Saccharomyces cerevisiae S288C: one gene and its partners. The gene in region 2 interacts genetically with the main gene of each other region. Each region holds a gene or a part of one and is shown on either strand. Other genes may lie near its edges. The genes, in order: CAX4, SEC59, SRT1 and GPI18.

Region 1 (7,691 bases), on a different chromosome or scaffold from region 2:
AGTATTCCGTCATTTTTCATGTCCAGGTTCGAAGCTGACCTGGTATTATCCGGTTTTTTTTCTTGTTGACCAATAGGAAAAAAAAAAATTAAAATAAAGTCACAGAAATTCAATGAATATTATAAATTTTTCTTGTTTGTTTCCCTAGTTGTTATTTTTATAAAAAAAATTCTTGTAGACAATAAAATAAGAAATGCCCATTTTGTAACTTAGCGAAAGATGCCCAGTACATCCCTTTTACACCCGTGCATTAAAGGTGTTTGGGTTTAATAGGAGCTTTATCATATCTCTTTGATTTTTTTTCTGCTGTCCTCGGCTTGAGGGACTCACAGAGATCTGGAAATTTTCAGATTGTCAGTGCTTAGGATGGGTTGTCAGTAGACGGTGGCCGCCGTGGATGGGAAATCTCATACGTTTACACACATAGTGTTTGGAAATTAATAGTAGCAATAGCTATCTGGCTACTGTTTTAAAGTATTAGCCCGTTCTCAGTGCTTCTTTTTTAAGGAATAACAACGGCAAGACCAAAGATATATCAAATATGGCTAAGCAATCTCTAGGTATGTTTGGAGGATACGAATAACGATAGAAAACATGAGTGAATTTCCGTCCACGAAAAAATGTTAACATAAAATGCAAGAGAACAATTAATCGAATAATGTTAAATTATTGTAAAACAATGTGTATGATGAGGAGGAATGTACCTAAGCCAAAAAAAAAAAAAAAAAAAAAAAAAAAAAAAGAAACAGCTTTTGCATATTCAATCCAGGCATAGGGCGACTATTTAGCACTCAACGATTTTTAAGCTTGTGTATTGCTGACATAAATTCCGGCTTTAGAATCCAATATTGAAAAACGTGAGTACGCAGAGGAGATAGAAGAAAAGTAGGAAGTTACCGTTTATATTGATTTGTGAAATGCATACTCCGTTGGATGTGGGGCAACATAGATTTAAGTGTGGATGAAAATTATGTGCTCATTGTGAAAAAAAAGTTTTGCTTTTACTAACAAATTTTTTTATTATTTGTTTTCAATAGACGTTTCCTCTGACAGAAGAAAGGCCAGAAAGGCTTATTTCACTGCTCCATCCTCTGAACGTCGTGTTTTGTTATCTGCTCCATTATCCAAGGAATTGAGAGCTCAATATGGTATCAAGGCTTTGCCAATCAGAAGAGACGATGAAGTCTTGGTTGTTCGTGGTTCCAAGAAGGGTCAAGAAGGTAAGATTTCATCTGTTTACAGATTGAAGTTTGCTGTTCAAGTTGACAAGGTCACCAAGGAAAAGGTCAACGGTGCTTCCGTTCCAATTAACTTGCACCCATCCAAGCTTGTTATCACTAAGTTACACTTGGACAAGGACAGAAAGGCTTTGATCCAAAGAAAGGGTGGTAAATTGGAATAAACTAGCTCGACTTTAACATAGATCATACAAAAAATACAATAAATAAATCCTGTGTTTCTTTTATGTATATTTTTTATCAATTTCAATTTAGTTTAGTTTAGTTTCTTTAAAAATAAAATTGTAATTTCTCACATTCTGCCTTCGGGTCTCAAGGGCTGGTTGGTAGACGAATGCGCTTGTTTCTAGCTGAGCGGCAGATGCATGAATTCAATGCAAGAAAATGAGAAAACTTCCAATATTAAAATGTGATTGTTAATTATTAGTATATTTATGACAATATATATATGTACATAGGGTGATTATGAAGATGAGTAAGATGCGAATGGATATGAGGATATGAATCTTTTTAGAGACAATGAAGATGCAAAGAAGTAGTTAAGCACATTGACCTCAGGGTTGCTATATGCTACTTTTAGTCCGTTGGATTTCTGAAGCAGTATTGGCCACAAAAATTTCTTCATTATTTCTACGATTAGAGTTTCTTCTGGATTTTTCTCGTCCCTGAGACTTACTCCTTTTCAAGTCATTTTCAGCAGCAGCTTTGATTAAATCATATCTTGTGATTTTACTTGGAGAGCTATTGTGATGGGAACTTTGTCTGCATGTGACTGTATTAGTCAGAGATGTTATGGGCTTAACCATAAGGGAAGAAACTATGGCACGCATGAATGAATTACTGCTTTTACTGCTGTCATCTGTTGAGTTTGCTGAGTCTTCCGTTCTTGTAGTCTTGGCTGGTGTGAGTAACATTACGTATTGTTTCTGTAGAGAAGATAACTTATAACTTCCGTCTTGTCACTAGTTGTTTTAATTATATGTTTGTTACAAGTTTTTATGTATAGATATATGTTACAACTTTTAGAAGTATTGTGGACATAACAGAGAGAAGGGAATGTTGCTATATTTATATATTTTATATATTGCCCTCAAAACTGTATCTCATCTTTTTTTCTGCAATCCTTGCTTTCGTAATCTAAGTGTGGGTGACATGCTAAATCCGCGGCTTTCCTTAAGCTTTTTCACAAACCATCTATTATGTCCAGAAGCTCCGCTGATTATCCGTGGAAAAGGGTCTTATTCTGCCGTAGGAAACTTCTTCTCGAGAAAAAAGTGAGTTCACCCGCGGCGCTCTCGTAAAACCCGAGGGCCGATTCTTTCCCTCCGTGGAACAATCGGCCCCGCGGCGTCAGAGGGTATTATCTCCGCAAGTGATAGAACTCACATTTATTCTACGTTCTGCATGGTTTTGATTATCTTCTTTTGCACGATGTCACATACTTTTTCGATTACCGTCGCTTTACACAGTAACTGTTTAAAACGAGCGTTCTTAATTAATAACTGTAGGAGAGCAGGCTTTCGGCTTTCTTTATGAGAAATAAGGACTACTCCAGCTTGCCAAGTTTTATCCAGTTACACAAACGCTCAAGATCGCCTCGCTAAAATAGATGAAAAAATAAGAAAAATGAAATGTTCAACCTAATCCCTTTTGGATTTATCATTGAAAGATCGCTGATTTATTCTTTTCCAATACGCCTCGTAATTCTCTTTCAATGTCAAAGGCGCCAGATTGTAAGAATCTGTCATGTAAAATAATCTGACAATACGTAGTTTTAAAAACCAATTGATTAAACCAAGCTCTCTTATGATGCCAACTATAAAAAAATAAAGTGATCCAGTCAGTGCCCCCACGCTGAATCCCACGATTACTTGATCTAAATTGTGGTAGTGCAAGTAAACTCTGGAAAAGCAAACGCAAAACGATAATAAAGCCAATGCACCAGAAAAAATGCATTTTTCTAAGAAGTTTAGATTCTTCCAGGAAGTGTATATCTTCAGAGAGTTATAGGTAAAACAAAACCCCATGAATTGGGAGTGTGCACTGGGCATCCCGTAACCGGATCTTATAGTGTCATTTTGGAACGACGCACCGAACGATACGGGGCGTGGCTGTTTTATTATATTCTTGATCACGTTATTGAATATTTCGTTCATCAATTGGCCAAAGGCTACAATGCAGGCTTCTAACTCTCTTGTGATGATAAACCACGACAAATAAAAAGCTAGCACTAGGATGGGCATCAGCGAGAAATATGCACTAAGGAATGATAGAAAGTCATGCGAATCATAGAGAATGTATGTGTCATCGAATGGTATAACATTTGGATTTGGATTTATTGCAGCGGCGGTACTATTCATGATATGATCCGATTCAAAACAAATTTTGATGTAGATAAAATGCCTGGTATAATGAGTGGTAGAGAAGAAAATTAGACGAAAAGAATGAGAACGAAGAAATGATTTAAAGTGATCACAGTGGCAATCACTTTCCCCTTTTTAACGCGTGTTGAGCAATCGATTGATGTCTCTACCATATGTAGCATTTTCTCAGAAGGCAAACTTTTCTTTTTCTTTCTACTTTTCCAACAAGAAATTTTAAGTTTTCCCAGAAACCCGAATTCTCCTATTTCATCCACCACGTAAGAACGGTTTTCTTCCTGGCGTAATTAAAAGCATAAAGAAAAACTGAACAAGCTCTAGATGTAGATCAGGGTATACATGGTGCGCTTCAGTAAGTGTACTGTACCACTAGTTTGGCGTCTGTCACTTGAATTGCGGATTTGTGTAGAGCAATGAAAGCGCTGCTTCTGCCGCCATCAAAAAAAACTGAGTAGTTATTAAAGCCTATGTATGACAATATAAAAATGTATACAGATCAGTCTGTATATAAATCATGAAAATATCTTTAAAAATTTCAAGAGCGTGTTTCCGCTAAACCTTGTCATATTCAACACAAATCAGTATCATTCTCGGCGTAAATTACATGCGAATCTCCCTAATTGTGATTCAATATTCCAGCGAACCCCGAGAATTTAAATAGAACAGAGTATATGCATTTATTAACAGTTATTACGCCTTGTCCCCAGGGAGAGTAGTAAGGGATATGGGCATTTATAAATGTACATAAGTCACGTTTTTGCAGCCAATAAAATATAATAATAGAATAGTAACAAGGAAAGCTAGGCCAAAACTCCTTACATGGAGCTAGTATACCCCTTTTCTAAGAGGAGTACTTGGCAATCAGTTGATCAACAAGGGCAATGTATTCCTTTTCGGCATCTTCCTGGGATTTACCTTTTAAGTTTTCCCAGGCTTCCCACTTGTAGCGGTCCTTCATGTTGAAAATACCAGGCTTTTCCTTGTCGTTGTCACCTACAGTGGCTTGCTTGTACAGAGCATACAATTCTAATAATTCATCAGTGGAGGGCTTCGTTGGTAGCTCGTTGACGGCTTTAGCTTTTTCTTCGAATAATTGGGAAACCATTTTGCTGAAAACACTAGTTTAACTAATTTTAGAGTTTTAGTCTTCCTTCTTTTGCTTCACACAGTGAAATGATGTACATAACGTACTTGCTTCCGAGACAGACCAATTGATCCAAGCTAGCTATATATATGGCGGTCATTGGGGAGTTGGCCTGGAGCTGTTGAGTTTGCGGACGTGTCAGAGAGCGCGTAGGGCCGCCAGCGCCACCTGTCTTCAGGCACCAAGGCCGTAATCTCTTCCGACGGTCATTTTTTAATGGAATGTTTCAATACGAGAGTTTGTGGCATGTAGTTTAGGAACGGATTATAGAGAATAGTCGAAATATGTTTAGTCCCTACACAAATTGCTAGACTACCTGTTTCGAGTTTCCTCTATTCCTTTGCTAACGGAGCTGCGGTATATAAACCATCGTAGACTCAAAGCCGTTACCCGACAACTATCGGGTATAGTGAAATGCCTATGTTTTCACTTTAAGACCTTAGAAAACTATCATGAGATCTCGCCTTCAGATGCAGATATTTCAGTGGATTCACGAAACAAGAAAAATTCACTGATCGATAACATCTTCCTTTGCTTGATATTCCCTTTTTGAATTTCCCTAACTACCTTTTGTTGTTTACCACATATTCTCTAAAAAGCAGAGTTATTCTTATTTTGTATTTCATTGCATTTTTATCCATTTAGTTAATGACCGAATTAGATTATCAAGGAACTGCTGAGGCGGCTTCTACCTCGTATAGTCGAAATCAAACGGACCTTAAGCCGTTTCCTTCTGCAGGCAGTGCATCTTCATCAATTAAAACGACGGAACCTGTGAAAGATCATAGAAGAAGGCGTTCTTCCAGCATAATTTCACATGTGGAACCGGAGACTTTTGAAGATGAAAATGACCAGCAACTTCTACCAAATATGAATGCTACTTGGGTAGACCAACGCGGCGCTTGGATTATTCATGTGGTCATTATCATACTGCTGAAACTATTTTATAATTTATTTCCTGGTGTTACCACAGAATGGTCGTGGACTCTGACTAATATGACATATGTTATTGGGTCCTATGTCATGTTCCATCTGATTAAGGGTACCCCTTTCGATTTCAATGGTGGTGCTTATGACAACTTGACGATGTGGGAACAAATTGACGACGAGACTTTATATACTCCTTCAAGAAAATTTTTGATTAGTGTCCCGATCGCCCTATTCTTAGTTAGTACTCATTATGCTCACTATGATTTGAAATTGTTTTCATGGAATTGTTTTTTGACAACCTTTGGTGCTGTTGTCCCAAAGTTACCTGTTACTCATAGATTAAGGATTTCTATCCCAGGTATCACAGGTCGCGCCCAAATTAGTTGAACATAGTTTATTTCAATCTTGTATCTAGATGTTTTTGCTATATTTATATTTTCTGGGCCAAATCACTAACGCTTTGAAATTTCAAAAGCCAACAACGGATTTCGGACTTCATTTATGTAAATGAAAAAGAATGTGAACAAAAATTGAAAAAATTCCATATTAATGCACCTTCTAAACCTATTTGTTGAAATTGTATTTAATTCATATAATCATATTCTATTCAAAAAGAATAACAGATAGTATTAGCACTATTTCACGTACTGCTTCTAATACTATTATCACAAAATAGACATCGGAAAACTCAAAAATAACGACAACTGCAGGACTCGAACCTGCGCGGGCAAAGCCCAAAAGATTTCTAATCTTTCGCCTTAACCACTCGGCCAAGTTGCCAATGTATACATTGCTGTTTCCTGGTTTGAAGAAGCTAATCGTGCACGTAAACAACAATCTATACTACAAGTAAAAAAATGGGGAAAAAGATGCTGAAGGTGAGATATATGTGGGTAATTAGATAATTGTTGGGATTCCATTGTTGATAAAGGCTATAATATTAGGTATACAGAATATACTAGAAGTTCTCCTCGAGGATTTAGGAATCCATAAAAGGGAATCTGCAATTCTACACAATTCTATAAATATTATTATCATCGTTTTATATGTTAATATTCATTGATCCTATTACATTATCAATCCTTGCGTTTCAGCTTCCACTAATTTAGATGACTATTTCTCATCATTTGCGTCATCTTCTAACACCGTATATGATAATATACTAGTAATGTAAATACTAGTTAGTAGATGATAGTTGATTTCTATTCCAACATACCACCCATAATGTAATAGATCTAATGAATCCATTTGTTAGTTAATAGTTTAAATGTTTTTATCGGAAGAGGTTTTGTCATCACATCAGCAATGTTCTTCTTGGTCTCGATGTAGTATACGTATAGATTATTACCTGATACTTCATCTCTAAGTCTCATTGCCTTTGTGCCAAAAAATCTGTTTCTAAATTTCTCTTCATTTGTAGACTTAATTATACTGATCGTTGATCTACTATCAGTAAGTAAGCCTTTAATAATTGGTTTCTTGTTAAGTTCTTGCACAAGGTGACTGAGGTTATTCAATAGCGGAATAGCTTCACTGACTGCGTGTATTTCTGCTTCTGTAGTTGAAGTGCATGTTAACGAAGCCTTTGTCGACTTTCCTCCAATCACTTTTCCGTTGAGTAGGAAAATGTTACCAATTTGTGACTTGTAATATGGTTGGTTACCATATGAAGCATCGCTTATTGCGACTAGTTTATTATCTGGCTCGGTAGGTTTGTTTTTGTGCCATATCAGTTGTTTATCTCTAGTGTCCCACATGAATTGTATTAACTCATATGTCATGTCTAAAACTTGCCTAGAGGGGAATAGTATATGTTGAGCAAGTGTGTTGATGTAGTATAGTAAGTCAAATCTAAATTTATATCCAACATATGAAGCTAGACCAATCAACTTTTGCATTTCATGTACCTTCTCTTTGTATTCATCTTCATCTATTTCTAGTTCATCCTGGTCTATATAAAGACCTGGTTGACCTGGAGCGCTAAGTTTTCTTCCTTTT
Region 2 (8,382 bases):
GCGAGCATGACAGCGGTAGATGATACAAAAGCTCAATAATTCAAATGCTATAACGGTACGATGTAAGATATACGCGTACATATATAAAATAGATGTGCTAATAGTTTTTATTATACATGAAGTTAGGAGATGAAGACGTTATGTTCAATCAAATTTGATCTTCTTACCTTCAAATTTAGCTTTTTGTAATTTTTCTTCAGCTAATCTTTTTGCAATCCAAGAAGGATGTTCTTCTCCAGTGGATGCACTTTCTTTTTCTTTCTTATTGTTCGTTTCAGTACGTCTGTCTTCGCGTTCCCTACTCCTAGAGGCCTCTAATGATGCTGCTTTAGCTTCACGCTTAGCTACTCTTGCTTCGTACTCGATTTGCCTCTGCTTTCTATCTTCCATTTCCTTTTCCAATTCCCTTTGAACGTGCTTGGCTTGTGAGCCGTATTTTTTTTCCCAAATCTTTCTTCTTGCCCTTTGCCCACGTCTGTTTTTCCTCTTTGGCTCGTTTGACATCTGCTCTCTGGCCGTACGGTCTTCTGCTGTGTCTCTCTTTTTCTTCTTTCCCTTAACATTTTTGTTGTCTTCATCGCTTTCCTCTTCAGTGTCATTTCCACTGTAATAACCAGCCATTAGTTCAGGTAAATTATGCAATTTTGGTTTTTTTCTCCTTGGTTCATTCTCTTCAGAGTCGCTGAAGCGTTCGTCACTGTCATCCTCATCGGATGACGCTTCGCTAGGTTCTTCATCTGTTACTTCATTGTAATTGATATTAGGGTTCAAGTATCCGCCGCCTTCCCCTTCATCTCCTGAACTGCCTAGCATTCCCTCGTATTCCTTTATCAATAGATCCTCATTGTCGGACGTTGTTTCTTTATTGCTTTGAGTTTGTGCGCCGATCGCATTAGATTTGCTATCGATGGCATTCTTTTCATTGCCGTCATCGGTGTCATAGTCAATGTTGGAGTGCGTCTGATTAGCATTGGCCGTCTTCTCCCTTGCTCCATACTTCTTTGCTTTCATAGCGCTTACATCAAATCCAAATATGAGACAAATACTCAAATCGAATGATTCGGTTAGATTTTGAACGATTTTACTTTGACCAATTAGTGCGTTTAACTTTTCACAACTTGGCAGCTTCGTAATAACTTCATTCCATATATTGCTTGGGTTCCACTTACTTGTCTTATCATTGATATAACCACTATAATCATTGTTATTCAACCAAGTTTTATTATTCGTATCACCTTCAATCTTTTTGCTTTTTTGTTTGATCCTCTGGTGTAAGATTTTGATCAGCCTAAATCTTGTCATGAAGAGTGCTAAATCATCTAATGACAACTGCGTAGCAAGCATCTTTTCAATATCTATAGAGGGTGATTTATTTTTTTGAGCATCCTTCACTTTACTAGAATTTTTTTTGGATATTTTCTGAATTTGTTCTTTTATACATTTTGATAAATGCGTCTCGTAATAGTGAATCTTATTATTGAGTAACTTTGAGTAACTTTCATCTAGTTCTTTGTCCAAAGTTTTCAACTCTAAAGAGTTTAACAGTTTTTCAATTTTCTTTTTGTTCTTTTTACCTATACAATTGTATAATTTGGCAGTTTTTGGATATCTTGGTTCAAACTTCTGTAATGATTTTGTCAAATAATGGTACTGATACTCCAACTGATCAAGCTTGTAGATAGAGACGGATGATTCGGAAGGCATGTTTCCTTTGGGTTATCCGTACACTTGACCTCTTTATACGTATATACTGGTTAAATTGCTTAAAGTAGTCATTCATACACTAAATGCACACAGTGATGAGGTAGATGAGATGAAAATTTTTGCCATATGGGCCATGTAATGTCTGGGTGTTGCTTTAATCGATCACTAACAGATGAAAAAGGTAGAATGGATAAAATACTTAAAGAATTTTATATGGCTTGTGATCAGACTGACGTGCAAATCATTTGATGAGACGTTTTCTTCATTGATGTTCTCAAGAAAATATATAGCTCAAGAAGTTGTCATCACATCACAATTAGTTATAATTAACGCAAGAGAAAATTTACTCAAGTTAATATATTTGAACTCAAATATATTGAAGAGATTAGAGTCGTCCAAATAGTCAGCATTACAATGGTTCGCTTGACCCAATTTCTAAATTTGCTAAAAATATTAAAGCTCAGTACCACGCCCTGTCACAGGCGAAATATCATCAAAGTTAATCGATAAACATTCGAAAAACGCAGTTGACCGTCGTGAAATGTGGAAATCATCATAAACAATTTTTGAAATTGGAGAAAAGTTAAAAACCTTGAAACAGTTTGTACGATCTCTCATCTCTCTCAGATAAATTTTCTAGTTTAAATTGCATCAGACACTAATTGCTCTTTTCAATCATGAAGATCAGACATATGCTTGTCTATTTGAGTAATTTGTTTCATCTTCTGCAGCATTGACGTCTCTAAGGTAGAAATTTTCTTTAAAAAACATGGAAGCAATACAGACACATCAACTGATGAACTAGTTATCTGTCGATTTTTTTCTATTTCCAAATTCTTTGCTAATCGAAAAGAATAATGTAAACAGCTTCAGAAAGGCATGAATGGTAATTTTAATAGTTGTGTCTTCACGAATGATCAGACTCGTCATCTATAAATATCTCATCATAAAAACCAATTCACATAATTATACGAAAATGAGAAAAAAATCCATTCTTCCCTATAGAAAATTCTGTTAGCCCTCAGAAAAACTTACAATGGATCAGTTGCGCGGGTTTTCTAGGCCCGCTAAAGCATTGTCACTCATTTGAAAGGATATTTGTTTCCCCCTCAGTGCCCAGTGCTGTGGATCCTCATTTCCATTGTATCAAATAGATCGAAAACATCAATCTACGGAAGAATAGCACTAAAAAACTACTGTTTTCTAAGCTTAAATGTATTCTTCCAATTTATGGAAATGTGTCAACTTTCTAGTATTTATTTTAAAGGTGTTTGCTAGGTCAGGATAGTGCAAAAACGTATCAACATATACTCGTTCAGCCAGTAATTCCAGCTTTTGTTTTTGTTATAATCATCATATGAACAAACACCTTTGAATAAATATGGAATAAAAAGAAAATTGAAATGGGTGTGGTAAATGAAAGGAGAGCAGAGAAATTGAAGAAATACTACTGTATTTCTATTTAGACTTTTCCTTTCAGTTTTTTCTTCTTTATTGCTAATTAAAAACCTCAGAAATAAGAATAAACGTTCTAATCACAAAAGATTCAGAAACTCTAGTTTGTAAAAATTTATTTTGGTCATCAAGGGAATAATTAGCCTGTGATAATGACAAAAGACATATCTGAAAAACTAACTTTGATAAAGAAGAAAAAAAGAACACGGAAAAAAACGTTTTATGGATTCAATTTCTCTCTCAGCCTTTCATAGCTCCCACTCATCTGAATATTTCTTTTGTATTGATCTTTGTGATGGAAATCATAGGATTCTAATATTGTAACTTATTAAAGAGAGGAAGCATTAATTGCCAATAACCATTTCTGCGTCTCTTATTTATACCCGAAGTAATCCTAGAAGAAAAAAAAATTTTCAGAAATGAAAAAAGTTCTAGATGTATGGGTGTGCGGGTAATGCTAAGATACGTTATTGAGGGCTGTCCGCAATGGTTGGGTTTTCAGGCACGTAATTTTCAAAAGAGTTGTACACGTTGTTAGTCAAGATGGTGAAAATGGTATCGAAGGACGTATTCTATGAAAGATAGAGTTTGTAGTAAGCCAAATATTAGAATTTAGCTAGTAAATCAGACTCCTTTCGAGGCAATAAACTGTCGTTATTCTGTTCATTGCCTATATGGTCGCTATAATACCTCATGCTTCCTTTACCACAATTAAACTAACCCAGAAAACTGAGGGAAGCCAAATGCCAACTGAGGAGATCTGCAAAATCAATATGAGGACTCGTAAATTTGATGTGGGCGGGAATTCTCGAGATTTTGAGTGCTTTTATTCGAATTTTGTTCAAACTGTTATATTGTTGGGCACTTTTTTTTACTGTGTTGAAAGGCTTCAGCCGTGGTCCATTGTTACCGCTGATATATCTTATAAACAAATCTTTGTAAATGTCTTTGTGGTGTGTTTGATAATGGTTGGTCTGATATTCACAAAATATTGGCAACATGGTTACAAAAGCCTACCCAAGTTCGATACCATTTACAGTTTATATTTACCGTTTATGGTTTCGTTGTTGTTCGATACATCATCTACGGTGATAAATACTATTTTGATCCTTTCGGTATTAAATTCATATAGATGGCGAACTCAGTTGGTAGTGATCATTTTACAGCTCTGCCTCATATTTTTTAATTTTGAGGCTGGTGACAGGTTAAAGAATATTATTAGCATAGTAATAAATTCTTTACTGTCGTTAATTTTGAAGTATATTGGGCAATTGAAAAGTTTAGATAATATCGACTCTAATCTTTTTAGTATCCTATTAACCAATATTCTGTACGTTTCAGAGGCTGGCACAGTACATTTTAGAATTTTGAAGGGCATTATCCTTGCTCTCACAACAATAATTTCAATTAACTATGTGCTCAAAAAGGTAATGCACTTTAAACCGTTTATGCTGTCAATATCCTTTGCCATCGGGCTTCCACTTTTTGCCAATACCTTCATTCATTTAGAAGACGGTGAAAATCCGCTACTTTGGCTGGTAAAATATATCTTAGAGTCTACTATTCGTCAAAAGATTTTGTTTGCTTGGTCTTCAATTCTTATACTGTCCATACCAAGTATATTGATCGAGAAGGACAGTCTATCGTTGAACACCTCCCGAAAATTGTGGCATTTCATCATTTTCTTACTCATAATACCGTCATTCCAAATGGATTCAAACTTTGTGAAAATTGCATTGTCCGGAACAATACCAGTCTTCTTATCAATTGAGTACATAAGATTTCAAAACCTACCGCCGTTAGGATCTGCTATTGAATTACAACTAAGAAGGTTTGCTGATGATAGGGACCACAGCGGGCCATTGATCATATCATACCTTTATTTACTCTTCGGAATATCAACACCTTTATTAATGAATAACTCTCCAATGGGTCTAATAGGATTGGGAATTGGTGATTCCTTAGCATCTATTATTGGTAAAAGGTATGGCCGCATTCGTTGGAAAGGTACACAAAAAACTTTAGAGGGAACTCTTGCGTTTATAGTAACGAGTTTTATCGTTTGTTTGGTATTGTTACGTTTTGATAAAGCTGCAATTTTTAACCACCTAACTACTTTACAATTGCTTACCCTTTGTACACTGAGTGGAGTGCTAGAAGGTAATAGTGTGCTTAATGACAATATTTTGATACCTGCATTTATGATGATTTGTGAAAAATTAATTACTCTTTGACAAAGTCAATTATTTTCAACTTTTAAAATTACATAACTAATTGTTTGCATTTATGAATAGAATAAAGAAAAGAATAGAGCAGTAAAGAAAAAAAAATAATTGTAAGTATTTTTTTTTCGTTTTATATCTAGTACTTACACGTAGTATATACAAGTATGGGCTATAGATATAAAGAAAAATAATAAATAAACGAGATTGTTAAGTTAGCTCTCTATTTCTTACCATGCTTCTTTTTATTGTTGGTTTTGTTTTTGCTCTTAGAGTTGGAAGAATCGCCTTCTATAAATGTTAACAACTCATCCACACTTTTGTTAGCCAATTCAGGTTTAACGTCATCCTTCTTTTGACGGTGATTGGTTTTTTTATGGCCAGCTGAATTTGATCCCGTTGTCGACATTTGATCTTGTGCAAGTTGCTTCTTTTGTTTTAAATCCATTATTAATGAGCTTAAACCATTAACCCACTGTCTTGATTGGGCTGAGTGCGTGTGATTCATACCCAATTGCTTGGTGAAAATCCCTTGGGTTACAGTGATGTGCTCTAATGCACGGTGGAAATCCTTCAATGCTGCAAACAAATTACCTAAACGTGACTCGGTATAGCCATATGCTAATGAATCTTTGCCTTCTAATTCCACAACATAGGAGCTTAGTTGTCCCAAGACTTCAATAGCCAATTTGGTATCTTGAACACCTAGGGCTAATTGTTCCAAATGGTTGAAAATGCTTGTGGGGGCTGGGTGATGGATTTTTGGTAACTCATAAACTTTTAGGATTTCTGCGAGCCTATTATAAACCACAGTAGCGTTATAAGGACTTTCATTAGAGAATTCTAGAATTGCTAAATTAGTTAAAGCCCTCATCATTTCAAAAGAATCAATACCGCTAACTCTTTCATAAATAGTACATGCTTTACGACAGAACGCGATAGCTTCAGGGTATAATGCTAACTTATTATAAATGGCAGATAATGACAAGTACTTTTCAGCAACGGCGGGATGTAAAATATTGTTAACATCTTCTAAGACTGTAATTGATTGAGCGAGTAAAGTCAAAGCACTTTGTTTGTCTTCGTTGATCATAGAAGCACCTTGAGCCCAAAATTCCTCACTAACTGAAGAAGTATATTCTGAGAACTTAACACGTGGAATAATGGTCAAATCGCTTAAACTGAAGGTAGTTGGTGGTTCGACAAACTTGTTCCTAATTTTCTTGTCAAGACTTTGCTTATAACTTTCCAATTGTTCTCTAGTAAAGAAGTATTCTTTATTGAGCAATTGAATACCAAATTTGTAAGAAACACTTCTAATGAGGGTGAAAGGATTTTCCATGTAAGCTTCGATCCAATTGGATGGTAATTGATGACGGAAACGCAAGAAGGCTTGTTTAGAGACAGCTTCCAGCAATTCGGAGCGTGTTAATTTAGCAAATGAGCACTTATTGACTGGATAAAATTCGTCGACTGGTTCTGGCTTCGGATCAGCATTGTAGTTGATACCAACTAACATATTGAAAACGTATGCTACCAGTGATGGAACCAAGAAGACCGGAACATCTTTACTCAAATCTTTTAAAACATGTTTCAAAGAACGCGAAACAATTTCTAATTCGGAAATTTTAATTAATGGCACTAGCTCATCATAGGCAACGACCACAGGTTTTCCATCGGTGGGCTTTTTGATTTCTTCATCGTTTAATTTCAAATCTTCAGTTAGTTCTTTTGGAACCTCTTTGCCTTCTTGTACCAGCTTATTAATCTTGGCTTGTCTCTCTTTAATCATGTTCTCAATTTTTTGCAGATAAGATTTTTCCCAATCCTCATATTCTTTGTTGTCTTGTTCAACAGCTTTCAAATTTTGTTCGTAGTGGACAATTTGGGAGTCCAATTCCTTTTGAGAAAGCTCGATAATTTTACCCAAGTAACGCATGTTGATACCATTCTTATGTAAAGTATCGGCTAAATGTTCACCATTATAAGGAGTGCTCAAATTTCCAGATAAATAATCTTGAATAACGCTGGGAATAACTTCTTTTTGTAAGTAGTTCGACATTTCGTCAACATTAGCGTCCTCAATACCTTCGACCTGGTAAGCATCAGGGTTATAACTAAACAAATTTTCTTCATAGGCCTTTTCAAATTCAACACCTTCCTTCTCAACTTTATTATTCCACCACTTTTCTACTAACTCCGGACGTAACAAAGTTTGCCTGTGTGGGTAACGGTTTCCAGTCTCTTCGATGTTGTCAAAGTTTTGTCTAGCAAAGTTGATGTCCAAGGGATACGTGTTGGCTAAATCCAAAATATAGCGCCTCTTATCGAATCCAACTATTCCCTTGGATTGCGATGAAAATGCTAATTCAGTACCGTTGACTTTGTGCTTTTTCAAATGGAATGCCTTGACAAACTTTTTTTCTAAAACAGAATCAAAGTCAGCATCATAAACAATCTTTCCCAAACCTTCATCAAGGCCGTACTTTACATTAATATCATTGACAAAATCTTCGGTAACCTCTTCGCCGGTATTAGCATCTTTTACAATTTTGTTACCCATGGTAGCTAAGAGTCCAGGTACTGGAGTTTGAGCCAAAATTCTTCTGCCTGCAAATTCGACTACAGTTGTTAAAAGATAACGAACTTCGTGCATATGCAAGCGATTCAAAATATTGATTGTCTTCAAGTCTTGGTTGGAAGCAGCGATTGCAGCTTCATCCCCACCTTTCCCTTCATAATTGCCACTAACGTCGGAAACATAGGAATAAAAGATATTGTCTTTTAAGAAAATTTGATCCCGAGTTGGAGATTCTGGGTTCATTGCAACGAAATCACTGTAAAAAATTGACATAGCGCCTGATGCTGCAGTAACAGAAAATTCATGTACAACTTTAGAAAACAACCTTTCCATTTCAATACGATCTTGTAATGTTGACGTAGTCAAATCTTTAATGGCTTGAAATTCATCATTAAAGTTTCTTTCTGGCGTGGTATCCAA
Region 3 (8,180 bases), 170 kb from region 2:
GTAGATCGAGGTGAACTGTTAGATGGTCCATCAGACATTTATTATTTTGACTTATGTATTTCCCTCTCAATTTTGTTATCAGTAATCGAGTCATGTGTACTTTAAAGTTCATATTCTCACGTTTTTCGCAAGATATTAGCCGCCAATAGCAACTCCGAATAATAAGAGCTATATAAAGGCCGTTGAAGCCCACGGAAAGAGAAAGAAAACTAATAGTTATTACAATATAGACCGTTGGTTTTTTCTTTCCCTCCTGGAGCAGCTGCGTATAGTTACTACCTAAGAAGTGGGCTAGAAGTTGGCTAGAAGTGGGCTACTTAATATATATCTTTGGATACATAGAAAGGAACCAGGAAAAAGGAAAATTATTTAGATGGCTTCCATAAGTTTATGATGGTTCAAACGGCAAAAAGCCTTTTGACTATTTTTCTTGGTTGAACTATCTTCTTATTAGGCCTACTACAACAATGCATCGAGCTAGGATAACAACTAGAATACTTTGGTTATGTATTGTATGGGTGTTCAGTGGCAAAATTTGAGAGTTGGGTTATTGATGGTCGGCCTATACAAACGAAAGACCTAGAGCAGCTCACAAGGAAGAAAGTGCTGGACAAACTTCCCTACCTGAAGAGAAAAATATCCGTTTTTTATATAGTTTCTGTAAGTGTGCACAGTGACTTCCTCATTAGAGCGATATAGATAATTTGAGACTTTATTTATTTTTTATTTTTGTTGGTTCTCATATTCAACCTTCCATTTATCTAAGTTGAACCATTAAACATTCCCTTTTTTACTTTGCTAATTTCATCATACCCATTGATCAACTATAAGTGAAACTTGGGAATCTTCCATTATACAAAGGTGAGGTCCCTATTTGTTGCATTTTTCAATTCATTTCCCTGGGAGTTTTTGTTTGTTTTTGCTATATTAACATATCATAACAGCGTATAGAACGTAATTTGAAATATTCAAAACAAAGAAAAGGTAAAGAAATGAGAGACTCTAATCATCGATCATTAACGTCGAACAAGCCTATAGTAACAATAACATCTACTGTCTATGACCGAAGGGCATTGGATATCAACTCTAGTATTCCGTTAATAAACTCCCTAAACTACTTAACATATCTAACCTCTAATTCATCAAAAGTTAGGGAAACGGTAGCTAACGACGGTGCTCTCGAAAGATTAGTCTCAATATTGAGGAGTTGTCATTTAAGTTTGTTTGAGTTGCTGGATTTGGATTTAGAAAATTTTAATGAGCACGAAAACATAAAGGATCTATGGAAGGAGAAAAGACTAGCACTATGCGCTTGGAAATGGACTTTAACATTTCAGTGCTTAGTATTGACAGGTACTAGAGGGACAGAACAAATTCGTAAAAAAGTGGTAATGTCTGGGGTCTTATCTGTGCTGGTCACAGTATTGGATAACTATTTACTATATCATAAAAATTACGACTTCATCAAAGATCAAACAATGACCTTTGACTTCAAAGGGATAACCACGGAGACAATGTATAAATTCATGAGAAAAGATGAGAATGAAACATATCAGCAGTATATAGAGTTCATTACAGGTCAGGATAAATTGAAGTTGTCAACTGACAAAAATTTTCTAAACGAACGATTAGTGGCACCGTCTATGACAATTCCAACTGATTTTAGTGATATATGGGGCCGGTTTGCAGACCTAGCTAGCAATTTTGAACCTGACCAGGAAAGACACGACGACGACATTGATATTGATAGTGAAGTAGAAAGTGAAAATTTTGATGCACATAAGAATTTCTTTTCGCAACCAGACATTAATAGACCTACAATTTCCACTCCACGTGAATTTTTTCTCGGAAGAATTGTCCCCAAACAAGACGACGTTATATGGTCGCTTCAGTTATTAGCTTTTGTTTCGAAGTATACATATATGAAATCAACCCTTCAAAATGTTGAGCTGGTTGAATCCCTATCGTTCAGAAGTATGGCTTACAAAATTAAACAGAGAATCTCAGAAGAGAATGACTTAGAAGAACAAGAAAGAGACGTAACTGTAAAATTGTCTTCATTATATCCTTATTTATCGAAAAATCCTGAAAACAATTCCAAAGTTAAGGCACTAGATACTAGCAAAATGGATCCATTTTTCAAAGAATTAGAAGAACTCTCAAACAGATGTCAACAAGAAGAACAAAATGAAATATGTAATAACCACTGTCCCGTTCTTAATTTGTTTGAGCGCTACCGTGTACCGAAACCTAGCGACGACAATGCCTATGGCAAAGACAAGGAAAGAATTAATTTAAGGAAGAAAATATCTGATAACTTTGAAAGGCGCTGGAGCTACGATAAAATGAAAAAGGAATTAACAAATATTGTTTACAAAAACAAGGTACTAACAAATGTTGTAAACATCTTCCCCTTAGTCGAAAAATATACAGTGAGCGCAGAAAATACACATGATGTTATATATTGGAGTTCTGTCATCATGAGAAATTCATGTCGAAAAAATGAGATCTTAGGTGTGCGTCAGTGTGCCAATTTTTCGTGCGGAAAATGGGAAGATTTTCCAAGACAATTTGCAAAATGTCGTCGATGCAAAAGAACGAAATATTGCTCACGAAAGTGTCAATTAAAAGCATGGGGATATCATAGGTATTGGTGTCACGAAGTTGGATCAAGTCATATGAGATCCACGAATACTACCACAGGTGTCAATACCCCAAATGAGCCTAGTTCTTTAAATGCCACCGCTACTACAGCAGCTGATGTTTCGAATTCTACCAGTACGTTCACTCCTAATATATCCACCACCGTACCTGATGAAATAAGCAATAGGGATGAAAATAGCATACCTGAGTAAAGTACAAGGGGATTTCGATGACCTAGGTTTAACAAGATCATGAAATATTCATTAACGGAGTTTTTTGTTTTCGCTTTTTTTATTTTTTGTTCCTAATTTTTTTTTTTTTTACATTTTATTAGCTATACACTTGGCGCAAGGATATTTTATATACCGGATATAATAGATAATTAAAAGACTACTAATTAAAAATGATGTAATATGGTAATAGGTATGGAAGAATCAGGGAGTTTTCAGAATGTTCTTTGCCCTCTCTTGGGCTTTCTAGTTTTGCACTTTTACTTATTCATCTCCTGTAACCGAAACTGAAATGGGGGGGTTTGGAAAGTTGTACAAAGACATAGCTGTTTTCTTTTTTTTAAATATTGAAGGAACGCTTTCATGTATTTTTTCAAACAATGAGTGATTCTTCTCATTATATTTTTGAATGGTGGAAAAGAAGGACCATTTGAGAATCATCAGGTACATAGCAAAGAAGCTAAAATTTGGCCACAACGTATCACTAAATTCAATGGTGGCATTTTCATGTACTTGCCATAGCATATAGTCTGAGAGCCTCCTATGCCCACTTGTTCTGATTAATAATTCACATTTATTGGAATGGAAACCCATGTACATTTTATTAGTAAATTTTCTTATATTAATCCTTGGTGATTTATTTTCCAAATGGTCTTCAACTGAATCACGAATAGTATGTAACATATCATTTCTTGAAGTGTAAGGAAAACATATAAATAAAGTGAAATCGTCTCCATCCTGTGTGATTTCTTCCACTTTTTTAATTTTTTTTCTCATTTCTGGAGATAGTAAAGATTGATCACCTACTATTCTTATTTTAGATCCGTATAAGGGATCCTTATAGTCCTTGGCTCTTTTTGCGAATTCATCAAGCTTTACCGTAAACAAATTCATTAGCGTATCTACTTCTTCTTTTGGTCTATTAAAATTTTCAATAGAAAATGCATAGGCGGAAACACATTTTACACCCAATCTTTTGCAGATATACAGTAGTGTTAGTAACGTTAACCCACCAGCTTCATGGCCTTTTTTTACTGGTAGCCTTCTTGACTTGGCATATCTCCGGTTACCATCCATGATAAAGGAGACATGTTCAGGCACTGGCCCTACCCTTAATGCTTTTATCAAAATATTCTGAAGATTTACATAAAACCATGAAAACAAGCTTAATGACATAACCCACGCAAATACTCTCTGAAATATACTTTTCACTGCGAAGCACATCTGTTCTTTGGTTTCTACCAAAAGCCTTTTTAGGGCTACAAACTGAATCTGAATAATACTGGGCATTTTCATTATGGTCAACAGAAACGTCCTATGTTTGAAAGGCAGCCTGTTCTTTATAAGTTGATAAATTGAGAAAAGTGCACCAAATCTTAATCTACTCTGTGTGTATTTTTAGGTCCCTTAAATAACAGAAAAAGTATAGCTTTAGCCGCCGAGGTCCACTCAGTTTGGAGTAGTTACCCTTAACAGGCACTCACTCCGTTTTGTTCTTTCGAAGAGATACGTTATAGTATATCGGCAACAAATGATAGGCTCATTGTTAGCGTTCATTAATTATTAGATTAAAATTTATTTAAGTGTATCGTGTTTCTTTACTTTATGTACGAAGATTAATATGCATTTAAAGGTATCATCCACGGAAAAAAAATACTCCATCAGCGTTAGCGGAAGTTATTAACTACTGTACCGCAGTCTACGCAATAATAGTTTCTATCTTGTTGGTCATTAGCACCAGAAAAAGCCTCAAACCTTGAACCGTTACAAACATTGCAACGGATAGGTAAATTCATTGCGCTCGTTGGAGTGGTAGGCCCATGTGCATTGGAGAAAATAGATGACATGCTTTCCCTTGGTGTTCTTGGCTGTGCATTACTGCCGAGTGTTTTTAGTGATGTACTGCTTTTGGGACATATATTAGAGTATCCACGTCCCGTTGCATAGCCTTTTCCAGTATTAGTATACGCCGCTGCCGGTTGGCCAGCCAAGTTTGATTTCGCTCTCGAGTTGAAGCTTCGACTCAAAGAATGCAAAGAATCAGAACTGTTAAACCTTCTCCGAACCTCTCTATTGTATTCTTCTAGTTTGAGTAACACGCGCTTTCTTATAACAGAGGGCATATCTGCTCTAAACACACGAATAGTCCCTACGTTATCAGTACTGATCAATATCGTTCCAATTGCGTCAACGACATCTGGGATAGCACTGGTGGCGGAAGCATTAGAAATTGAGCCTGGTTTAGAATTGTAGCCCAAAGACGACTCTACATCTGACATTATGCCATCGTCGTTACTCCGACTCAAAACATCGAAACTATCGGATGTCTGAAAAAACTCTAGAGATAGCTCGCAGATAACATCGTTAGACAAAGATAATGTTTTCGAAGTTTCTGGCGGTGCAATGCTAACACAAGTAACAGGGGCATTGTGTGCATGAAAAGAAATGTAATCCGTATTTTTGATATAATGATCGTTGCTATGATGAGGCAAGGGAAGTAAGTTAGTAAGTTTTAAATGATGATGTGGTTTTTCTTCGTTATTCTGGCTGGAAGACCTACTCATTGATTTACTAAATATGCTTCTCAAACTTCCGGACCGAGCCAATCCCTTTGGTTTCCTTTTAGGTTCGTCTTGATCATTCTCTCTATCCGAAGACTTTAACCTCCAGCCGTAAACCCAATGGTCATCACTACTATTTACAACGATTGGCTGACCATGCCAGATGGACAATTGTGCCTTGTGTTGGGAAGATCCGCTATGGAAGCCTTTCAATACCTCTAGAAGCTTCCTCTGTTCTAAGTCAAAAATTCTTATCCTCGAATCATTCGATGTAACTACTAAGCGGAAAGAATTGTCCAGTTGAGATCTAAAAGCTTGCAAACCCGTCACACGTGGACCATGACGAATTTTTGAGTCAGTTTCCGTGACCATGACGTGAGCGTTTTGTTCTTGTGTTTGTCTATCAGCTACGTGAAATGAAGAAACTGGAGTGAGACCTCTGGTCATCAGAATATGAACGTATCCATTAAATGTTCCTATTATAGTGTATTTTCCCTCCTCAGGGGATAATGTAACAGATGTTATTAAGTCTTGACAATCGTACTCAAAGCTAACTTCATCATCCAGTATAGACCATAACCTGCATTTGTGATCCAGACAGCCGCTAATGAAAAATCTATCGTCGGTGGGGTGAAATTCCACACAAGTGACAAAATCAGGATGTATGAATGTCTTAAGTGAATTTTTCCTATCGGGATGCCATAGTTTTACTGTCTTATCCATCGATGCTGACAAAATAAAATTATTTTTAGACCAATTTATATCCAGAACATCTTGCACGTGTTCTTTATACAGTCGCAAAGGCGTTGGGTGAAAGACAGGCGCATACAAATTCAATAATTTTTCCTTCTCTTCGTATTTCTCTGTAGCAGAATCCAAAAATTGTTTTTCTTTTGGATTGTTCAATGAACTGACCTGCTGTTTGATCCGCATCGACTTGGCTCGTGCCTCTTTATTTGATTCCGCACTCGAGTCCAATTCGGCTCTTTCAACTGGAGAGCCAATAACTTTCCATATTCTTATTTTACCATCTTTGCTACCAGTGGCCATAAATTTTCCATCGCGGCTAAACTTTGTACTCCATATAGCTTTAGAGGTTGGTTCAGATGATTTGGAAGTGGAGGTAACCGTTTCACCTTCGTAGGCCATTAGTTCTTGCGCGAGAAACAATCTTCTAAATTGTTTCAGGTTTTTCCGACGTTTCAACATTTTAATGTATTTTGGCTCTCTCAAATAGTTTTCAAATTGCTCTGTATCAATGGAATTGAAAGGGTAAAACTCATTGACCCTAAGATTCGAATTTAAAGTATTGCCTCTCTGTAAATGTTCCTTTAGTCTCATAAATGAATCAGTGGCGTTGCCGTTGTTACTATATTTTAATTTGTCATTTGTATTATTAGTTTTTGTCATTCTGAACTTCAATGGCTCGATATCTGCAGAATATTCAAGATTTAGTTTGCTTTTACTTTTACTTTCACCGGAACTGGACTCGCCGTCGAAGCTCTCTTGATGCGACCGACTCTCCTCTTCAGATCCAGTGGTATTCGAGGAATTGCTGAATTCAGAATGTACCTTGCTTATACTTGTTTTATCCTCCGCCATATTCGTCATATTTCTAATTCTCGTACTATATTATACGCCACTACCGTATACAATATGCCAAGAGCTCAGCAACTGCTTTCTATTCTTTTTCTTTGATTGTCTTTGTTCCTCTTTTCCCTCTTTCTTTTCCTCCTCTGTTTAACAAGTTGGAGAGAGTTGCAGTCTTGTTCCCTATACGGTCCAGCTGTGACTTGTACGAACGCGTATTGTATCCCAGGAAGAAATAATGATGTAACTCGCTTACGAAGCTTAAGAAAGGGCAAAAAAAATGTGTCCCCCCTAACTGCGAAAGTGAAAAAAAAAAAAATTAATGCGTTGAATTTACACAGTTCTATGTATAATTAACTGCTACGATAGAAACTGGACAGTAGTAAGAAAGATTGGACTAGGCATCACCCAGACTTTACTTTTTCGGCATACATATCTATTTATATATAGTTTAATACGTAAATACAAATATATATATACTGTAAATTTTAATCATTAAGCTTTTCTTTTTTTTTTGTTCACGCTTTCACCCTGTGAGGCGAATGAGGTTAGCTTTTTCCCTTTACGGGACTAGGTAAGGCTCCCCATGGCTGAGCCCGCGCAAGGAAATCCAGGATCATCCGCGGAAGAAATAAGCTGCTCCCGGCCCAGACTATGTAAGAAAAGTGGCAACAAACAGAAAAGCGAATCTTTCCTTTCAGGCAATGCAAGGGTCCTTTGCCGTTTGGCGAATTCCGGTAACCTCGACTTGCGCCCCGCGGGCTTCGCTTTGACATCCGCGGGTATAAGCGTCCGTCCTTCGGCCGACAACAGGTCGGTCTTTGATCTCAATTCCGTAGATGGAAGAATTCTGATAATGCTGTAAAAGAAATGAATAAGCAACATAAGTCGTGTGAGAGTTGCTAAAAGAAGAGCGCAGCCTCTGCGGACCATTCTATTTTCTGTAGTTCTTCTTGTCCCCGTTAACCACAATAGTAACGGAGTGCGTATCGCAATCTACTTGAACTATCCATTTTTGAAAATTGCAACCTCTTGCGGCTATAGCTATAAATTCCGTCCGGCTCGGCTCGGCTTGCTTCGGCTTGCTTCTAACTAATGCTTCTCCCCTGCGAAGGAGAATCACCCAACTGTTCGTCACCAATGTACGTCCACCCAC
Region 4 (8,212 bases), on a different chromosome or scaffold from region 2:
ATATTCCGCATCAACGCGATGCGGATCAGTCCCTCTTGTCACATCATATTTTTCTACCACCATTCCGTTATAATCAACAAATGATTTTGTAATCATGTACAGCCACCTATAAGCCAATCTTGTAGCTACTTGTTGATAACCATATGCAGATAAACCTTTCCAGGCTAATATTTGGTGCGGCGCCCAACCAAAAGGATAATCCCATTGCCTGATCGGTCTATCAATAGAAATAGGACCTCTTGATTTTTCTGTGCATGCAACTAGTCCGCCGAGCATTTCTAACTGAGGAAGAGCTTTTTCTACTGTGATTTTTGCTTGCTCTTCAGTTGCAAGACCAGCCCACAAACTCCAAAAAGTCGTTGCAGACTCATAAGACGTTCTGCATTTCAGTTTCGTGTTATAATAGAAGAAAAACCCTGAATCTTCGTCCCACATATACTTATTAATCCTTGTTTTCCTCAGTTCAGCTAGCTCCTCCCAGTGTTCAGAATCGGTTACCGTTCCATCATTCTCATCTTTATATTCATTACCAAAATACTCCTTAATGACGAAAGCAATATCTTTCTCATATTTATAGAGCAAGGAGTTTAGATCAATTGTCGCTAAATATGCACATACACCTTCAAACCTATAAGTCGTGTCATGTCCTGACTCTCTCACGGCACGATCATGTAAAAAAAATGCATCCAGTTTGGGTTCTTTAATCATGCCTTCGTTATAAAGGTACCTAAGCTTTTCCAGAGTAACATTGTACTTTTCAGCATACGGTAATAATATAGTATCAAAATGATCTGGTTCAGTTTCCGGAGGGATACCAATACCATCAGAATGATAACAAGACAGCCCTGTCAGAGAATCTAACCTAGGGCTCGACATCCACACCTCTTTATATTCTTTAATAGCAGCTCTGAACGCGCGTTTTAACAACTGAATAGCGTTTGGATTATTCTTACCTCCTATCTTTTCAAATACGAGCAGAGCCATATCGGTTAGGAATGGTGGCTGAGATCTGCAAAGATAATAACTCCTATTAGCATTCAAAATTTTACTATAGTGATCAATTTCGAATATAAAATGCTCCACCATACCTCTTGCAACATCAACCTTATTACTTTCTATGAGTCCCAGTGCCATTAAATATGAATCCCAGCCATACAATTCATTGAATCTACCGCCAGGTACCGCATAAGGATAACCAACTAGGGACCTTTCACCAGTAGATGGATTAACGTGTTCTTCCATAGCCAGGGCTAACAAACCCGGTGTATCATTTAATGATTTAACATACTCTGCTGTAATATCTTTTGGTAAGTACTCCACTTCAAGTTTTAAGGACGGGTTCATTTGAGATGCCTGAATGTAAAATTCGTACTGCTCTGGGCAGTTATATGGAACATAAATTCTTGGATTTTTAGCGCCTGGCGTATCTATTTTTGAGTCTCTAGCAATTTCTGCAATATTATAAAGATCAACTCTTCTCGTTAAACTCGTCCAAAATTGAGTCGTTATCAATCTTGATAATCTATCAACAGGGTTTTCATTTATACGCGCCTCATCCAAAAATATTTGGTGTCGTCCGAAACTTTTTGCAATGGTTAGTTCCTGCAACAAGTTAGAAAGCATATATGTTCCCCTAACATTTACATGTTTGAAACCGTTGGAATTGGCCGTCCCGACTTTAATAACTTTGGGCCCAGTGTCTTCTATGGTAATTTGGTGATTCTTGTCTGTGTCCTCACTAGCGAGCAGCTCATCTAAAGCGAGATCCACATTATCAATATAAAATCTACGGTTACCTTGGCTGCTGAGGAAGCTGTCGTCTTCAGAACCCCTCCTTTTCAGGGTATAATCCTTCATTCCGTTTTTGAAGTCAGAAACTTTATTGAAAACACTCATAGTTCTGGTTCTATTTAGTCTATGAATTTTTGACTGTTTTCTTGGATCTGTTATTGGTCCATAATAGACCTCTGCGTTGGAAAACGGGTCAAAATACTCATGCATAGAGGACAACCGCCGGTGATGTCTTCTACCACCTTGTTGCCCCTCTTCTTTCAACGGCCGCTGCTCTGAACCACTTGAAAGTGGCTTTATGTTATCTTCACCATCATTACCTTCGGATGGAGGATTTATTTCCGTTACTTTTGGTAAAAAATCTACCATTATTTGAGTATATGCAGGTCTCCTTATATACCAAATGTCTGATCCGAACCTGCGTCAAATATATTTGCAAAGGAAAAATATAAATAAATAAATAAAATTGAGAAATAAAGAATATTAGTTTTAATGGAAAACAGTTCCTACAAGCGCTATAACATATGAAATATACATTAGTCGAATATTAACTTTGGGAGGTAATTACAATTCCTATCCGCTTTATATAATTTAGTGGAACTGGCACGCCGCTCGGAAAAATTGGACTTCAAATTACCCCGCGCGGAGATTTGCATTATAAACTCTATAAAGATGCGTGAATTTCTACTCATTTATTACTAATTATTTGAATGTTCTTTTGCGAACTCATTTATCTTGCTCATTACTCTATAAATATCTATGCCATGTGGTAGGAAAAAAATGCAGACCTTTCTTAATTCAACTTTTTTTCTTTCAAATCGATGGGGTCCCCATTGGTTTCCTCGTCATAATCACCTTCCTCTAATCTGTACTCTTTGTTTAAAAAGGATTTGTGAAACGAAAATTTTAATAAAATCCATGCCATCCGTATAGGTCCAAACTCTGGCCATAAACAATCCAGCAATTCGATGCGTACGCCCTTACTCGATGCCTGCCATATCAAAAAGTCACTTAATCTGGAAACGCCACTTGTCCTAATCAATAAATCTAAAGGGGGTACCCCCGCCGTGTAGAGATGCGATTCTAACGTGCTTTCGTCTATAGCGGCGCCCTTCTTATGTTGAACAATTGTTTCTTTCATGGCATGCAAGATTTCTTCCCTGCCTGTATATGGAAAGCAGATATTTAACGTGGCCCTTTTGTTGTTCTTTGTAGTTTCCACAGCAACCCGAACATCTTCTAATAGAGACTTATCCAACAAAGAGAGATCGCCGATAATTTTAATGCGTACCCCATACTTACAGGCCAGCTCTCCACGTTCTGTGATTTGTCGTATCCTTTCGCGCGCTAAAGTCATCAGTGATTCAACTTCCCGTGAGCTCCTCTTGAAATTTTCAATTGAAAAGGCAAACACGGTAGCCGTATCGACTCCTGCTTCATAACACAGTTCTAAGATTCTACTCATACTAACAAATCCTGCCTCGTGGCCCTCCTTTACGTCCATCTCTTTCTTTCTAGCGAATCTCCTGTTCCCATCCATGATGAACCCAACATGTCTAGGTACACAGTTAGATGCACGCAATGTGCGCGAAAAGATGTTTTTTGTCCACTTTAACACAAATGAATGACCAGGTATACCACTATCCGTTTCCATACCGTCTTTTACCTGTGTTTACCCTATTTTTACTGCTTAAGTTCTATTGAAACCTGTCATTATTACGAAAATTTTTTTTTTTTTCATTCTAAGCATTTTGTTGGCATCTTCGGAAAAAGCCCGAGCGAGGGTAACAGGGTTAGGGGATTAGAAGATTAAAGTAAGACACATTATAATCTATAGAGATTTTCTACAACACAAGAAGTGTGCCATTCAGTCCGAATTGAGTACAGTGGGACGATGTTTCAAAGGTCTGGCGCTGCTCATCACATCAAATTGATTTCATCTCGAAGATGCCGCTTTAAATCCTCCTTTGCAGTTGCTTTAAACGCTGCCAGTAAGTTGGTAACTCCCAAGATTCTTTGGAATAATCCCATATCATTAGTCTCGAAGGAGATGAACACATTGGCCAAAAATATAGTTGCCCTCATCGGGTCTGGCCATCCGGTGCTAAACAAGGTTACTAGTTACTATTTTGAAACAGAAGGCAAAAAAGTACGTCCCTTGTTAGTGTTGTTGTTGTCAAGAGCACTTTCTGAAATTCCCATGACAGAAAGAAATCACTTGAAAATTGACAAGTCGGATGTTCCTGAGGACCCAATTTACTCTAAACCTAGTCAAAATCAACTATTTCAACGTCCTGCAAGTAGCATATCCCCACTACATATTCTTCACGGTATTAAACCACTAAATCCCTTGACAAAAGGTCCTGAGCCTTTGCCAGAAGAAACTTTTGACAAACAAAGAGGGATTTTACCCAAACAGAGAAGATTAGCAGAGATTGTAGAGATGATACACACTGCGTCTTTACTTCATGATGACGTTATTGATCATTCTGATACAAGAAGAGGAAGGCCAAGCGGAAATGCTGCCTTTACCAACAAGATGGCCGTTTTGGCGGGTGATTTTCTCTTAGGGAGAGCAACAGTGTCAATTTCAAGATTACACAACCCCGAAGTCGTAGAACTAATGTCTAATAGTATTGCGAATCTTGTCGAAGGTGAGTTCATGCAACTGAAAAATACTTCCATTGACGCGGATATCGATACCATCGAAAATGGCCATAAGCTACTTCCGGTTCCTTCTAAAAAGCTTGAAGTTAAAGAGCACGACTTTCGTGTTCCAAGCCGCCAACAGGGGCTGCAATTATCTCATGATCAGATTATAGAAACTGCATTTGAATACTACATACACAAGACCTATCTGAAGACTGCTGCTTTGATATCAAAATCTTGCAGATGTGCTGCTATATTATCTGGGGCATCACCTGCCGTTATCGACGAATGCTATGATTTCGGTAGAAATCTAGGTATATGTTTCCAACTCGTAGATGATATGCTTGATTTTACTGTGTCTGGAAAAGATTTAGGGAAGCCATCCGGCGCGGATCTAAAATTAGGTATTGCTACTGCTCCAGTCTTGTTTGCATGGAAAGAAGACCCATCTTTAGGTCCACTAATTTCACGCAATTTTTCAGAGAGGGGTGATGTTGAAAAAACTATTGATTCTGTGAGACTCCATAATGGTATAGCGAAGACGAAAATACTAGCGGAGGAATATAGGGACAAGGCATTACAAAATCTACGGGATTCTCTTCCTGAATCTGATGCTCGTTCTGCCCTAGAGTTTTTAACTAATAGTATACTAACAAGAAGAAAGTAAACCTTGAAATTTCAAATAAAGGGTGAAGAATAAAGAGAAAATGAAGAAGGTCATAGTGTCGCATTATTCTATATTCTATATGTAAATAGTTTTTATATGTTTTTAGTAAAAGAAGAAATATACAAGCATTAAGGATCAGGCTGGTGGTAAAAAAGCTGCAAATAGGATAGTCTGTAAAGGTATCCAGAATGCCAACCAGTATATGTAAAACTTGACTATCTTATCGTCACCTTTCGGATTTTCCATTTTTTTTGGATCAGAAGTTTTAACCAATCTATCAGCCAAATACCAAAGGTGCAAGGGTAAAAAGGAGGCTATACGATTCAGAATTTGGACATGGGCAAAAAAGCATACTATGACGACCAGTGCTCTGGTGATCCATACGAGAGCCTTCAAGTTATAGGAGGGATAAATTTTGCTGAAATATATGGAGGAATAGATTAAAATAATAATATTTGGGACAGCAAACAAAAAGTTTGGGATGTTGTTTGGGGTCCAGTATTTCAATAACCCAACTCCCCAATAATGACTCTGAATGTAGGAATATAAAGAAGTTTTCGTGATAAAAATGCTTGAAAACAATTGAGATTTACACCATTCACCCCTTTGAGGACAAAATGTCTTATATGGTAGGTAATATTGTTGATATAGTAGAGCAGAAAACATTAATGATCCTGATAATAGTGGGAAACATATTGCTTTTACAAACTTCCTGTTCTTTGTTAGTTCAATAAGGTCAAAAATAAAGTAAATCCCTAACAAAACACAGTTTGAACGATTCAAGGATGCTAAGGTAAAGCAAGCCATGCTGATAAAGGAGTAAGGAAACCAATATCTCCACGAAATATCGAATTGACCCAATACGGGCACGGAAATGGAGCATTCACGACTCCAAATACCAACAAATGCAAAAAAAAAAGATAATGGTTCAGAATATATGCTTGTTAAAAATCCAGCGGCACTCGTTAAGAAAAACAACAGAGATGTTTTTTTAGCGATAGTTCTAGCAAACTGTGATTGCCTTATATTTTGGCTGAAAATTTTTTTTGTTAGAAAATATAAAACAATACCTGACAAGTAAAATAAAACATTTTCTATTGCAACTCCAACCCTTAAGGCATGGTAGATGCTATCGTTATTACTTTTAATAAACAGCCTAACGAAAAAAGTCCACAACTGAGAAAACGCGTATTCATGCTCAAATTGAGGTTTTCCGTTTTTGGAAGTTATGTTCTTGATAAAAAAAACACTGTCCCATGATAGTAGCTTATTCCAAAAATACTTGTTCCAATAACTGTTGATTTCAGAGGGAGAAGAACATAATTCGTTTAATAAAAGTGATGTTGATGTATCAAACTGCCTAATTGGAGTCAAAAAAACCAGTAAATACTGTATTGAACGGAATAATACAAAATAAAGTGTCAACCCCACAATCATATTTTAATTTAGTCTTATTCCGCCTCCTCTCTCGAAGCCTCTCTTTTATGTCTTTTTTCGATGATGAGGCTTACTTTTTTTTTCAACTAAGCCTTGAAAAAAAAAGTTTGATTTAAAAGGGATTTTCTATTTTAAGTATTTAAATGACCGACAGGAAGCTCATGCAGAAAAGGCACCTGTAATAGCTTATTGATCATTCCAATAAATAGGAAAGTATAACTCGAATTAAGAATAAGGAATGGGACTTATTTCATACGAAAATGAGGCGATAAACGAGGTGAAAAAGGCAGATAACCATCACGTTAGCAAATTTGTGACTAGTTACTATGGGCCATCATCGTCGTCATGGCAGTCAGGAATATGGATTTTGTTTGTGCTGTTTGTTGCCGCAGTAATCCTTATAATACTGTTCACTTTTGTAGCGAACAGAAGGAGACGAAGGATGGGGCGTGCTCCCATTAGAGGTACGGCATGGTTGACACCGCCTTCATACAGACAGTCTCAGCAACAATATACTGGGACCGTTCAGCAACGGACAGATGATTATGTTCCTGAGTATACAGAAACAGCGAACGAACATGATCTTGGATACTATGACCAGCGGGGCGAGTTTCACCCCAACGATAAGGCTGCATACGTGGCCCCCCCGCCATTGGTACAAGAATGTTCATCAGAATCTGTTAATTCTTTAGAAAGACCTCCCGCTGCTGTAGTTCACCAAGCTAACTCTTTAGATACGGATTACGGTTTAACAAGGCCTAGCAATGGGCGCGTTCCAGCTGTAAGTGATACGGTGGAGCAATTGGAAAGGCTTCCGGGCGGGACTACAACGCAGGAAATTAACCCACCGGAGAGGGCAAAGGTAAATGCAAGGTCATGAACTGAATCTTTTTTTCCGGCTGTCCTCTTACAGTTGAGTTACAATATTTTGCCAGAAATATTTACATTTTTTTACCCAATCTCTATAATAATTATTTTAATTCCTAATCCGCTTCAGGCCCGCGGTCGTTGAAGTGCTATAGTTTATATTCAGTACATTGTCTTTAATCTCTCAGTATTATTTTATCAATAGTAAATACTTCAAGTCCATCGCACGGCGTGGTGGTGATAAAGGGAAAATGCGCGCGGGATTAGCAAAGGCGGCCAATGGATTAAGGGTGACAAGATAGCACCACATCACATCACATCACCATCAGTAATGGAGAGGAAATAGGGTATAAATACTCGTCAGAGATCAATAGATATTATTTCGCAACGTCCTTTATTGTTCTGTTCTTATTTGATCAATTAAGCTAGAAAACCAGCTACATTAAAAGCAAATTTTACAAACTACTATTTCAACATGACTTTGAGTAAGTATTCTAAACCAACTCTAAACGACCCTAATTTATTCAGAGAATCTGGTTATATTGACGGAAAATGGGTTAAGGGCACTGACGAAGTTTTTGAGGTGGTAGACCCTGCTTCCGGCGAAATCATAGCAAGAGTTCCCGAACAACCAGTCTCCGTGGTTGAGGAAGCGATTGATGTTGCCTATGAAACTTTCAAGACGTACAAGAATACAACACCAAGAGAGAGGGCAAAGTGGCTCAGAAACATGTATAACTTAATGCTTGAAAATTTGGATGATCTGGCAACCATCATTACTTTAGAAAATGGTAAAGCTCT

The links.
Region 1: of SEC59 (region 2) and CAX4, extra expression of one rescues a mutant of the other (dosage rescue), as found in Saccharomyces cerevisiae (one study listed by BioGRID).
Region 3: of SEC59 (region 2) and SRT1, extra expression of one rescues a mutant of the other (dosage rescue), as found in Saccharomyces cerevisiae (2 studies listed by BioGRID).
Region 4: mutations in SEC59 (region 2) and GPI18 together harm fitness more than expected from each alone (negative genetic interaction), as found in Saccharomyces cerevisiae (2 studies listed by BioGRID).

What each region holds. Positions count from the first base shown.
Region 1 is NC_001139.9:555,271-562,961, forward strand, and holds CAX4 (dolichyldiphosphatase), read right to left. Parts: upstream 3,599-7,691; coding exon 2,879-3,598; downstream 1-2,878. Other genes in the region: 60S ribosomal protein uL24 RPL26B, read left to right, coding at 542-560, 1,038-1,402; YGR035C (uncharacterized protein), read right to left, coding at 1,802-2,152; YGR035W-A (uncharacterized protein), read left to right, coding at 2,295-2,516; long-chain fatty acid transporter ACB1, read right to left, coding at 4,461-4,724; sphingolipid homeostasis protein ORM1, read left to right, coding at 5,412-6,080. UniProt on the Saccharomyces cerevisiae protein: Non-essential protein which is required for efficient N-glycosylation. Necessary for maintaining optimal levels of dolichol-linked oligosaccharides. Hydrolyzes dolichyl pyrophosphate at a very high rate and dolichyl monophosphate at a much lower rate.
Region 2 is NC_001145.3:292,190-300,571, reverse strand, and holds SEC59 (dolichol kinase), read left to right. Parts: upstream 1-3,833; coding exon 3,834-5,393; downstream 5,394-8,382. Other genes in the region: BUD22 (Bud22p), read right to left, coding at 145-1,704; translation initiation factor 3 subunit CLU1, read right to left, coding at 5,605-8,382. UniProt on the Saccharomyces cerevisiae protein: Catalyzes CTP-mediated phosphorylation of dolichol, the terminal step in de novo dolichyl monophosphate (Dol-P) biosynthesis. Dol-P is a lipid carrier essential for the synthesis of N-linked and O-linked oligosaccharides and for GPI anchors.
Region 3 is NC_001145.3:465,308-473,487, forward strand, and holds SRT1 (ditrans,polycis-polyprenyl diphosphate synthase), read right to left. Parts: upstream 4,170-8,180; coding exon 3,138-4,169; downstream 1-3,137. Other genes in the region: MYND-type zinc finger protein MUB1, read left to right, coding at 993-2,855; LAF1 (Laf1p), read right to left, coding at 4,541-7,045; YMR103C (uncharacterized protein), read right to left, coding at 7,595-7,957; putative protein kinase YPK2, read right to left, coding at 8,113-8,180. UniProt on the Saccharomyces cerevisiae protein: With NUS1, forms the dehydrodolichyl diphosphate synthase (DDS) complex, an essential component of the dolichol monophosphate (Dol-P) biosynthetic machinery.
Region 4 is NC_001134.8:239,124-247,335, forward strand, and holds GPI18 (GPI-anchor transamidase GPI18), read right to left. Parts: upstream 6,545-8,212; coding exon 5,243-6,544; downstream 1-5,242. Other genes in the region: alpha,alpha-trehalase NTH2, read right to left, coding at 1-2,160; RER2 (ditrans,polycis-polyprenyl diphosphate synthase), read right to left, coding at 2,585-3,445; COQ1 (trans-hexaprenyltranstransferase), read left to right, coding at 3,686-5,107; RCR1 (Rcr1p), read left to right, coding at 6,783-7,424; UGA2 (succinate-semialdehyde dehydrogenase (NAD(P)(+))), read left to right, coding at 7,887-8,212. UniProt on the Saccharomyces cerevisiae protein: Mannosyltransferase involved in glycosylphosphatidylinositol-anchor biosynthesis. Responsible for the transfer of the second mannose to the glycosylphosphatidylinositol during GPI precursor assembly.